Oreochromis niloticus: one gene and its partners. The protein of the gene in region 3 interacts with the protein of the main gene of each other region in a biochemical or structural test. Links are inferred from orthologs where the notes say so. Each region holds a gene or a part of one and is shown on either strand. Other genes may lie near its edges.

Region 1 (3,755 bases), on a different chromosome or scaffold from region 3:
GACAGAGGACCTGAGAGATGCATCTGGCCCATTAGTTGATCCATCAACTGTCCACTGAAGCTACATTTGAAATGGTCTCAAGAAACCTGGGGTATGCCAAATTACACAAGAACTGGACTGAAAAATCAGTGGCAACAGGGCTTAATGGAGTGAGGAATCCAAATTCTCAAATTCATTTACAAATCATTGTCACTCTATGTACAAAGGAGGTCAGTAGAGAACAATGACAGTGAGTGTCTACAGCTGTCTGTGAAATGCCATGGATTGGCCGCCAGAGCATGGACCACAATATGACTGAAACAGTGTGGGAGAACAGAAAATAAAAAAAATAATAAAAAAAGAGATTTGAATGTCCTTGAAGACGCCTGGAGAACTTTTCCTGGAGACTACTTAATAAAATGGCAAGTTAGCTGACTAAGAGACTTCAGGATGTTGCGTTGAAGAATAAAGGTGGTCATATCAAATATTGACCTTCAAGGCCTGCAAAACTCGGTTTAGCCTGTATTTCTATTATATAAATAATATAAATTATTTCAAATTTTCCTTGCAAAATATAAAGAAAAGACTTTTGCAAAGTACTGTAGTTTTAGATTTTTAAATTATAGCTAAATATAATAGCCCTATTCAACGCTAGATGCCACTAAAATCAACACTGAGTTATTAAACAAAGTGTTACATGACTGACGGAGAGGTATTAACTGTATGTTCTAGTATGCGCGGAGACTGAATGACGCTGTATATTAAATAAAACCATTCTTGTTATTTGTACTCACTGATGTTTTAGCATCAATTGCAAACTTGAAGCTAGCCCTTATTGTGACTGACCAAAACGTACAAAGACAGGGACATTAAATTAAAGTCAACGTTACTGCCTGTCACATTAACAGCTTTTAATCGAATATTCGCTCATCATAATTTAATTAACACTACAAACGAAGAATTGACATACCGCCTGTGTCTGAAGAAGAGGATAGTTTACCAGCCGCTTGCTAGGACAGTCGCCTAATGATGACGCGTACCCATGGCTAATCGGGAAGAAGCTAAATAATAAACACAAACATAAAAGAGTTCACATACTTTTAGTCAAAGTTGTATTTGTTTCACTTGTTAGTGGATAAAAAGTAGAAATAAGGCAGAAATTAATATAAACACCTCTACAGTTCAATGTGTATGAGCAATTGTAATTAATTTACAGTGGGGTTTTTGAGTCATTTTTCATTTCGGATATTACTGTGATCTACAAAACATCCACTTTGTCCTTGTCATATGAATACTTCCATCAATTGGTTAAAAAAAAGGATGTATGTTAGTGTCGCAGACGCGAGGATCAGCTGTTGGGTGCTTGTAAGCAGGGAGGAAGTGATGCAGGAAAATGTCCATAATGTAGCTCCACTCAATGACTAAAAGGGGGAAGCACAAAGAAATTGGGTGCTTTAGTCCGAGCTGGCGTTTTAACTCACACCTAACAGCGAACACAACTGAAGATGGACTCTAAAGCTAGTTGCTAGCTTGTTACTTATTTATTTTCTAAGCGTGGAACAGAATTCAACATTGATGTGGAAGTTTTTTTTTTTTTTTGATCAGCTGCTAGCTAGTTAGCTAGCAATCTGAGTTAACGCGACGAGTTTGCTTCAGTTCGTATTTTTTGGCTAACTTGTTTAACTACTTAATTTCTTCAGCCATTCACAAAGTGATGTACATCCACATTCGACCGAATGTGTTTTCCCCTAAAGGTAAGTTTTTTCACGGTGATAATTTTGTTATTTCTTGATGTCTTAATCGAAAAATACCTAGCATAGCCGAGAGCTAACTTTTAGTTAATCGAGCTGATGCTAGCTAGCTATGACGACGTCGCCAGGGCCGGGCAGTTGGGATGGAGCTGTTAAATGGCCCGGTGCGGTGATCTAATGTGGCTCAATAGCAGCGTAACAACGACTGCCATCTGAATTTGTGTGTAATAGTTACAAGTCCGAGGTGCGGGTGATTATTTAATGCCGGTTTACACTATATTTTTGAGTGTTGTACTTGTGTTGTTATGCTCACCCGCCCAACAAACGTTAACTTGTTTGAAATAATATTATTGTAGATGTTAGTAAAGGGCAGCTGAGGATATATCGATATAACAGTGTTGCATATGTAACACAGTCGTATTCCAGTTCACCTCGGGACGAGCTAATAATCTGGTTAAACTACTGGCTGTATAGGTCACTAGGCTGCTTAGTGTTTACTAACTCCCGTGCCAGCTTATTGTGGATTATATTTGGCCAAATAAGCAAAATCTAATAAATAGAAATTCAGACGGCCATCTGAGCTTAGTTAGGTGAACTTGGCCACAGCAGACCTGAGAGAGATTTGCCCCTACATGCCCCATGTATTGATCAGGACTGGCTTTTTGCCCTGATGTTGAATACATGCATTAAATATGAAGTCAAGGGTCGTATCTCTGTTAGGTCAGTGATCACTGCAAAAAGTAGAAGTTGGTTTGAGAAGTTTCCTGAAGTTGTAGCTTTTACATCACAAACTGGAATATTGCGGCCCTTTTGAGATGTAGTTCCTTAAAACCAAACGTGTCAAAGCTCAGCTTTTCACAGTTCACAGTATGCAACATAGCTGACTTCTTTCCAGTTCTAAACAAGTAAATGAAAAATCCTGAAACAAGGCTAACTCTTTGCAAGTCCTCAAATGACATATTCATAGCATGTCGACCAAAATAGACCTGCAGGTTTGGGAATGATGAGCTATCACTTTCTGCTTATGATGACAAGATAATGTGTCTTTTCAGCATTGTGGATGGCAAGGTCACAATGATGGAGCTCAGTAGAAAGACAATGCCATCTGAAGGATTGTAAGTCAGCTATTTTATAAGTTATCAGACACATGATCACCTCATGTTTTTCCGTCAGCAGACTGATTAATTTCATTAACATGCATTCATCAAAGAAACAATTTTTTAAGTTAAATGGGTAGGTAGAGAAAGCAGTTTACAAAGCAAGCTTTAGTTTGATTAATGTAAACTCCAGTTTAGTTGCAACTTGGTCAGGATTTCATAATCTTGTATGCCTTTTGTGTTTTTGCCACATTTTACTTGTTAGAAAACCTAGAAAGTCCTGTATACTAACTTGCAAGATTCAAAATATTAGTATAAAAAAATGCGAACTATCTGGAGCCAGTGTAATTAACATATGTTGCTGTAAAATCCTAAAGAGACATGGATAACCATAGTAGCCCTGTATTCTTTGTCAATGTTTGGTGTTTCCAGTGTTTTTATTTTTCATCTGCTTTCATTATTGCTAGTAGAGAATGAAGAAACAATATGGTGCAATAATCTACTGCTTAGTATAAAACGAGGTAAAACTTCCTCTGTTCAAAGAGAACCCCCCCCCCTCCACACACACACACACCGTTAATGTGAACACAGCACAGAGGATGACCTATAAATGCAGTTATTTGTATCACAATATTTATAGAACTGTATTCCTATTTTAATTACCTATAACTAACTACCTATAACTATGGTGATACCAAGAAAAGCTCCTACAGCCGTCATATAAGAGTTATATAGGTCTTCTGACTTAACACATAACCCACTGGTAGGTTTCTGTGGTTAAGGGTGATACTCCTCTTGTACTACTTTTGACAAGGTTTCTATGGTAACCTGAACAGTGTTTAAGCATTGTATTCATGCCTATAGATTATTTTTGTTTTGCTTTGTTTTTCAGGGTTTTTAAATCTTCCCATTGAAGACTTGGATCGTG
Region 2 (3,755 bases), on a different chromosome or scaffold from region 3:
ATCCCAAGAACTTGATGTAGTTTGCAGACTTATTCTGCAGTTAAATTTACTGAATTTCCCGGAGGAACCCACCCGAGGGATAAATAAAGTTTCATCTAATCTAATCTTACTTCATATTACCTTAATTAAGAAAATGGTAAATACACAAATACAATGTCACTGTGAATGACCTAGATTTTTTTTTTTATTTAAGTTTTTCTTTTAAAGAAATCTATGAGAATTTGTGCTGAATATTTACATTTTAAGAGATGGTGTATGGGCCACAATCATGTGCTGCATACACCGCACAGTTACAGGAACACTGGGTTTATTAATGTTCCAACAGCCCTCAGTATAAACATTAACTCTGAGTTAATAAACACTACACAAGTCTCAGGTCAAATGTTCTTTTGCTTACTAAACCTTTAAAAACAAAGACTAGAGAGCAGCAAAGTGTCATATAATGACACCTGTTATATGCATATGTTTCTACTAAACTATATTTTGCATGTAGATTATACTTTTTATCCATAACATTTATTTTTAAACTTGTTATTTTGCAGATAAATTGTGTTATTAAAGGTCAAGCTCTCACTGCAGGATCATCCCTGGATCATCTGCCTCTATCCCGTCCATCCTGCTCACTCCGAACAAACATCATAACATCCTAAACTTCTCTGTCTTTGGCCTCATGTCCTGTCTCCTGCCACTGTCTCCAAACCATACATCACAGCAGGTTATGGAGGGCTTCTCTTTTACTCTTGCTATCACTACCTTTCTGTCATAAATCACATCACCCCTGACACCCGTCTACACCCAGTGCACCTAGCCAGCACCTCCTCTCCACCTCAATGTTTCGTTTTAGTTAACTAGGATAACCTTGCTTGTCGTTAACTCAGAGTGATGGACGAGTTTTTGAACTATGAACAGCTAAAAATAAATAAAAAGTTCAGAGGAAACTCTATGTTAGAAAAATAGCTGACAGAGATTTTACAGTTTAGCATAAATGTTAAAAATATTTTAAACTTTATTACACCCTGCCTCTCGCCCTATGACAGCTGGGATGAATGGATGGATGGATGCATGGACATGAGTATATGTGAGCATGTGAGCCAAAAATAGGGGGACTATTTCTTTAAGAACTAAAACGATATATTCGGCTCTTCGGGGTGTACATTACAACCATCAGATGTTCTCGTTTGGATAACTGTTGTCTAAGTCCATATATCCCTCTTGTAAATGAGGTTAAATGTCATGTTGTATAAACCTCCATTCTTAAAAAAGAGCGTTCGCTCACATTTCTCTGAAGAGGGGAACGCTTGTTTTGTGTTGCACCCCCATAAAGCGGTGGTATCGTCCACTCTCACGGAAACGCCGGCTCCAGCCAAAACTCCGGCAAAAGAGAAGCAGGTGGAACTGAGACAGTAGTGAGAGTGTGACTGAAAGTGGTAAGTGTTTAAAACAGTGCCCTATCGATTACCAGGTGTTGCCCCAGGCACCTGTCTTATATTTGCTTCTAATTATGATGCGAGTGATTTAAAGACTTTTGACGCGTGTTTGGACACATTAGCAGACGTTAGCAGAGCAGCTCTGAAACCCGCGGTGCGCCACTAATGTTAGCTAGCAAACAAAAGAGGTTCACTGTGAGTCAAGACTGACTCTTGGAAGAAAATGAAGGAGATAAATGTGGATTTTGTAATACGAGTCATGTTTTTGTGACATTTAAGTAGCGATAAAATACGACATCCTGGCACGAAGTCTGCTATTAATCATCCTAGCCTGGGTAGCTAACGTTAGCATCAACGGCAGAGACCCGCAGCCGTTTGGATTTTAGCCCAAAGTTTAAAGTTTAACAGTGTCCAGACCCTTAACAGACTTTTTATTCAATATGTACCTGTGTCTTGTGCTTTAGGTGTGTGTGGTGGAGGAATGGTGACATAATCCTGACGTGTGTGTTTCCCACAGAGCTTTTTAAACTGGTTCTGCAGCAGTGCTGTCGTTACCATGTTTATTTTTAACAGTTCAAACGCTGGAAAAAGTTCGCGTTTAATGTCGCAGACACTGCAGCTGCGCGACAGTTACGTTTGGTGGTTTTTGTTGAAATGCAAACGCGACAGCGCCTGTTTTCTTCCGAGCAGTGTCCTCGTTCTTCTGGTGAGCTTTTATATCAAGTCTGAACACGAAAACGGAAATTTAGTGTGATGAGGCAGTCCCTGTTTGCTCCTTCCTTTTAACCAGCTATGCAGGCCGAACCGAACAAAAACAGTGTTTACGAACTGGGCCATTTCAATCTCCAACAATGGCGTCACCATTCATTTTAACAGTACTCAAGTGAATTTTGTGCATTTATGAATCGTACTTGTGACAGTTGCTGCGATGCCACACTCTGCCTCTCCACACATCATCTCCAGGAATCACTTGAATGATCCTAATGGCGAGTAAAGTCACAGAATTCATTGTTGTGTATGTGTCTGGGATATGTCTGCATATGATCATAACTTCCACTGGGTCCTATACTTAAAGGCTGTGGTTCCCCAGTGCTGCCCTGAGGCAAGTCAAGGTGTCCCCTGAGATTTTTGAATCAACGAAACATTGTAACGGCACAAAGTACTAAATGTCATTTCAGTTGACCTCATTGGCCTGATTGATAGTGAGGAGATATAATTGAGCAGCTGGACTTGTGATGTCAGCAGCCTTCAGCCTGAGTTAATCTGTTAATGCTAATATAGTGAGCTAAAGAGGGCCTTGGAAACTAAACATCCTTTTATAGAGAGACTTCACCTGCTTTAAAAGGGTAAAAGAGAGCTGTGTCTGAACCAGAGGCAGCAGGAATCTACACTACATAAACAAAAGTTCTAGGCTGCCCACATATTACACCCACAGGAGCTGCTCTGCCGTAGAAACCCATGCCATGAAGCTCCCAGTGCACAGTTTACATGCTGATCTTAATGTCAGAGGAGGTTTTCAGGTCTGCAGTTACTGAGTCAGCAGAACATATGTGCTTTACATCTCAGCACGCAGCGATCACACTCTGTAACTTTACATGATCTGCCACTTCGTGGATGAGTTATTGATTCCTGAACACGTCCACTTTACAATAATACAGCTGACTGCGGAATATCTAAAAGGGAAGAAATTTCACCCGCTGACCTGTTGCAATAGTGGCATCCTGTTTCAGTAATACACTCAATTTCTTTTAATTCTTTAGAACGACCCATTCTTTCACAAGTCATTCTAAAGGCTGACTGCATGGCTGGGTGCTTGATTTTATACACCTGTGGCTATGGAACTAAAAACACCTGAATTCAAAGACTAAGAGGTGTGGCCCCATATTTTTGACCATATGTATGTGTTTTTGTGTGATAAGAGGATGGATGCAAGTCATAATTTGGTGGTGTTCATTGTATTTCTTAAAATCAGCTAACATTGCAATCAAAAGAAGGGATGATATTTGAAAAGAGAGAGTATGACATGACATTCTGCACATATGAAGACAGCCGAGTCTTAATTTTTGGTTTGCTGTTTGTTTTGCTTTGGGACAAAGGCTTAAAAATCACAGCTCTAAAGGCAGAAATCGGTTCTTTCCTTGAGTTTCTCAACATTCAGTTGACTGTAAGCCCAGCAGTGTAACTGCAATGAAACTTCAATTAACAACGACGCACAGATATGATCAGAATGCCTTGGCTTTGGAAATCTGCTGATACAAAGTACTCCCTTGATGCCAGTGTTAAATAAATTTTCTTCAATCTTCATTTAAATCTTGAAGTAGTGCTTTT
Region 3 (3,755 bases):
GCTGCAGCGATTTACTGAAACGTGTCTAAACATGAATGGAAAAACGGTATATAAGCAAAATTGAAAAAGAAAAAAGGTTATTTTCACGAACAGGCTTCCTAAAGGACATTCAAAGCTTGTCTTTGTATTTTTCTCCCTTTTTGTTCCCTTCCCTGTCAAGATGCTGCTTCGATAATGTCCAAGTCCAGCCTTTGGGGAGGCCAATCCATGACTGCTAGTGTTGCATTGTGTTTTTCTATCCAGGTATGCTTTTACTGTCACAGTCCAGTTATTATGTAATTTGGCAAACCTTTCTTGTCTTAAGAATGGCTTTTTTGACAGTCACCCTTCCACTTCTTCTTCTGTTCTCTATTTTTCAGTATCATTTTTTTTAAGACTGCAAGCACACCATGCTGAGCTATGCTAAGCAATGCTAAATTTTCAGCTAATAGCTCTTTTCCAAAAATGCTATTTTATTCCTGTAAAACTGTGTTATATCTGTATTTTGGATTTTTTTTTCATAAATGGGACCAAATTACATGTTATTATACGTGTTATAAATTACTGGAGTGCAAATAACAAAGTGTCTAAAGATCTAGTTTCAAATTGTTTTTTTGCTGTTTTCACCTCTTCATCATTCTCATCATTCATAGGTTAAAAAAAATCATCTGAAAATTATCAGGTTAAATGACTAAATTGAAACTGAATGCAAAAGCAACCAAATAAACACTTTGAAAGACCTTTTTAAGCTTATTGGAAGTAAAATATAAAGAAAAGAGGGATGGACGACAGACACTGGTTTAGTTGAGATTTTGTTTCATATCAGTAACCTTTTGCTGCAATTAGCTGACAAATATTTGGTAACCAATGTAAAAAGCTGTTAAATGGTCATGTAAAAAACAATATCATGTTGGTCAAGTGTCCTGGCAACTAACTGATATTTTAGCACGTGTAAAGCATTTAGCTAGAACTAGAACTTGTTGGTAAACAAATATATTCTGCCGACATTGTACGACCTGTACACAATGCTGTATTTGAATGAGTCATAAAAGAAAAACTTACCTTGGTAGATGATGATGATTAACTGACACAATTATTTATTTATTTATTTATTTTTTTGCGTGTTTGTCTATCAGTGAGCCCGCTAGGCAGTGTTTTTTTTTTTTCTTGCCCATTCTGATTGGTTGATTTGATCAGTACAAACTGGAATTGTTGAAAATTGGAGCTTTGCTCTTGAGCTGTTTGGTAAAGTTGCTGCATATTTGTGGAACCTAAGGTGAAAAATAAAACAAAAAACAAAACACGTTTTCTAATAAGAAAACATTTCCCATCATAACCCAGAGAATATGAAAAATATATCATTTTTGATGGTCAATCCCTAAACTGTCGCCGTAGTTTGGGCGATACCATTTTAAACGGGTGTCCTCGTGATGTTGATTTAAGGGGTTTATTCTTATCATTACAAACATATTTGGAATAAATTATTTAAAATATTAAACTATTATTAAATGCAAGTAACTACAGGAAATGGCAACAGTATATTTTATGACTATTACCCGTCTCGATAATACATCGGCATCTAACAAAATGGTATAATCCAAGAGGTAGGGAAGACCTGTAAGTGAGACAAATCAAGCCTGTGACAGCGGAGAAATCGGAGTTTTATAACAAGTAATTACTGTACAGAGGTAAGTACTATCCAGGAGTCCTCGCTCGACCTTAGTGAACTGTTTTGTTTAACAGCAGCACCGTGTTCTGCCGAGCTGTCAGTGTAAATGTGGGAAAATTGTGAAGAAGATGACAGTTTTGCTAGCGATAGCTGAGCTACTGTTAGCTTGCTGCTAGCCGACTGCTAGCTGATTCCCCAAAACTGTGCGGACTTGAGCAGGAAGAAGTTAGCTTGCTAGAAGCTAGTTAGCCTTTTAGCTCGCCATCCTATTTTGGGATTGGCATTCCGCTAGCTAGTAACCTTAACTTAGCTACGTTAATCGCGACTGCGAGAGGAATGTTTATTAATAACGCTTCGTGTTGTATGTCGGGCATCTGTAAATGTGAAGTGGCTGATGATGTAGCGGTGTTTTCTGTGACGTGAAATTAAGTGATATGAATGACAAGAAATAACACTGGGCCCAGTTTTCACCTTCTGGTCATGTAATCTGTGATGGTACCGGCGCACACCTAGAAGCTGGTACTAATATTGCTAGGTAACGTGCGTAAGCATGTCTGCTAAGTGATGCTGACACCAGTGTGTTCCAAGTTTGACCGTTAATAATGACACAGTGAACTTGTCTATTCTGTTGATCTCATCTGTTGCTGCCAAACTGATGGCTGATGGTGTTACACTCATTTCTGTTTGTCTACATATAATTTTTGCCTTAAGAGTAATGCTGTTTTCGTATTTGTATTATGGTTCATGTGGATGTAAAAATAAACAATCGAAAGAATACACCTTGCCATGGTTTCTTTTGTGTTGCCAATGCTACTGAGGCTGAGTTGACTGTTACTGTCTTATATAAAGCAAACTACACAGTTGCATCATTAATGAAGAAACGAAAGCCAGGAACTAAGCCCTTTATTTGTTCCTTTTTAAAATCTCTTTGCACACTCCTCTTTTCATGTGCATTTTTTCTGTCGTTCTCTTAGGCTAAAAGAGTACAAAACTGTACAATGTCCTTAAAGCCACGGATGGTAAATTTTGACGAGACATGGAACAAGTTACTGACAACGATCAAGGCTGTGGTGATGCTCGACTATGTGGAGAGAGCCACATGGAATGATAGGTTCTCGTATCCTTTACCAGCTCGCTTCATGTTTAACCAATTTAACCTGCAACATGAGATTTTTTTTTTAAGTTTCAGCACAGGGTTTGAGTGTAAATACAGATTTGCCAAAGCATTGTTGTCATTGTAAAATACATTTGTGTTTATTCATTTTTAATAGCTAATGTGTGTATATTTACATCCCTCACATTATTCCTGAACATTGTCACCAGTGACATCTATGCCCTGTGCGTTGCATACCCAGAGCCTTTAGGTGAAAAGTTATACACAGAGACCAAAATCTTTCTTGAGAACCATGTTCGTCAGTTGTACAAGGTAAGCAAAAGTTCTTCTGTGCTTTTTCTTTGCTTATCACATCGCATTTCCTCTAAAGCTGCCACGCTTGTGTGTGTATTTCAGAAAGTTCTGGAATCAGAGGAGAAAGTTTTAGTGATGTACCACAGATACTGGGATGAGTACAGTAAAGGAGCCGACTACATGGACTGCTTGTACAGGTAACATTTCTGCTTTTTTTTGTGTGTTTGTAATTTCAGTTTCAATTTGATGTTAGTGAGTCACAGAGTTGTTTTACACCATTTACTCCAGCCTTTTTTTCTTTTTATCTATAAACACAATGATTGGACAGCCTGTGTTGTTAGAGGTTTCCAGATTCAAACCATAAACATGTCTGTAGTTGGTTTTTCACATTCACTTTTAACTGAAGGCACGAGTTCACCCAGGCTTCTGTGATTGTCAAGTCCACTTGTTTGTTTAGCGTTCCTTAATGCAAAGTGTACTAATTCTGTTCCTTTACAAGGCTCAGTATTCCTGCCTTTAGTTTTTGTCCCTTAAAATATTACTTTGAATGTTGTTGTATGAGGTGCCAAGAGGCTTTCGGTGTGTCTTTATTCACTCTAAATCAATACTCCCCTGTAGAGCTCTTAGATCTATTTTTATGTGTGCTACCCACCAGACTCCCTGTGCATACATATGCTTTTGTAATTTATGTCGGTCCAA

Evidence for each region. The genes of interacting proteins can lie anywhere in the genome.
Region 1: of the proteins of cul2 (region 3) and dcun1d3, one has a biochemical effect on the other in vitro, tested with the Homo sapiens proteins (2 studies listed by BioGRID, with this or other methods). The link is inferred for Oreochromis niloticus from reciprocal best matches to the Homo sapiens genes CUL2 and DCUN1D3.
Region 2: of the proteins of cul2 (region 3) and dcun1d5, one has a biochemical effect on the other in vitro, tested with the Homo sapiens proteins (2 studies listed by BioGRID, with this or other methods). The link is inferred for Oreochromis niloticus from reciprocal best matches to the Homo sapiens genes CUL2 and DCUN1D5.

The regions. Positions count from the first base shown.
Region 1 is NC_031973.2:19,638,361-19,642,115, reverse strand, and holds the start of dcun1d3 (DCN1-like protein 3), read left to right. Parts: upstream 1-1,198; 5' UTR 1,199-1,733; intron 1,734-1,761; exon of another isoform or gene 1,762-1,974; intron 1,975-2,782; 5' UTR 2,783-2,845; intron 2,846-3,719; 5' UTR 3,720-3,755. UniProt on the Homo sapiens protein: Contributes to the neddylation of all cullins by transferring NEDD8 from N-terminally acetylated NEDD8-conjugating E2s enzyme to different cullin C-terminal domain-RBX complexes and may play a role in the cell cycle progression by regulating the SCF ubiquitin E3 ligase complex, after UV damage.
Region 2 is NC_031979.2:35,192,526-35,196,280, reverse strand, and holds the start of dcun1d5 (DCN1-like protein 5), read left to right. Parts: upstream 1-1,275; 5' UTR 1,276-1,427; intron 1,428-3,755. UniProt on the Homo sapiens protein: Contributes to the neddylation of all cullins by transferring NEDD8 from N-terminally acetylated NEDD8-conjugating E2s enzyme to different cullin C-terminal domain-RBX complexes which is necessary for the activation of cullin-RING E3 ubiquitin ligases (CRLs).
Region 3 is NC_031974.2:28,250,810-28,254,564, forward strand, and holds the start of cul2 (cullin-2), read left to right. Parts: upstream 1-1,518; 5' UTR 1,519-1,667; intron 1,668-2,622; 5' UTR 2,623-2,646; coding exon 2,647-2,765; intron 2,766-2,971; coding exon 2,972-3,074; intron 3,075-3,158; coding exon 3,159-3,253; intron 3,254-3,755.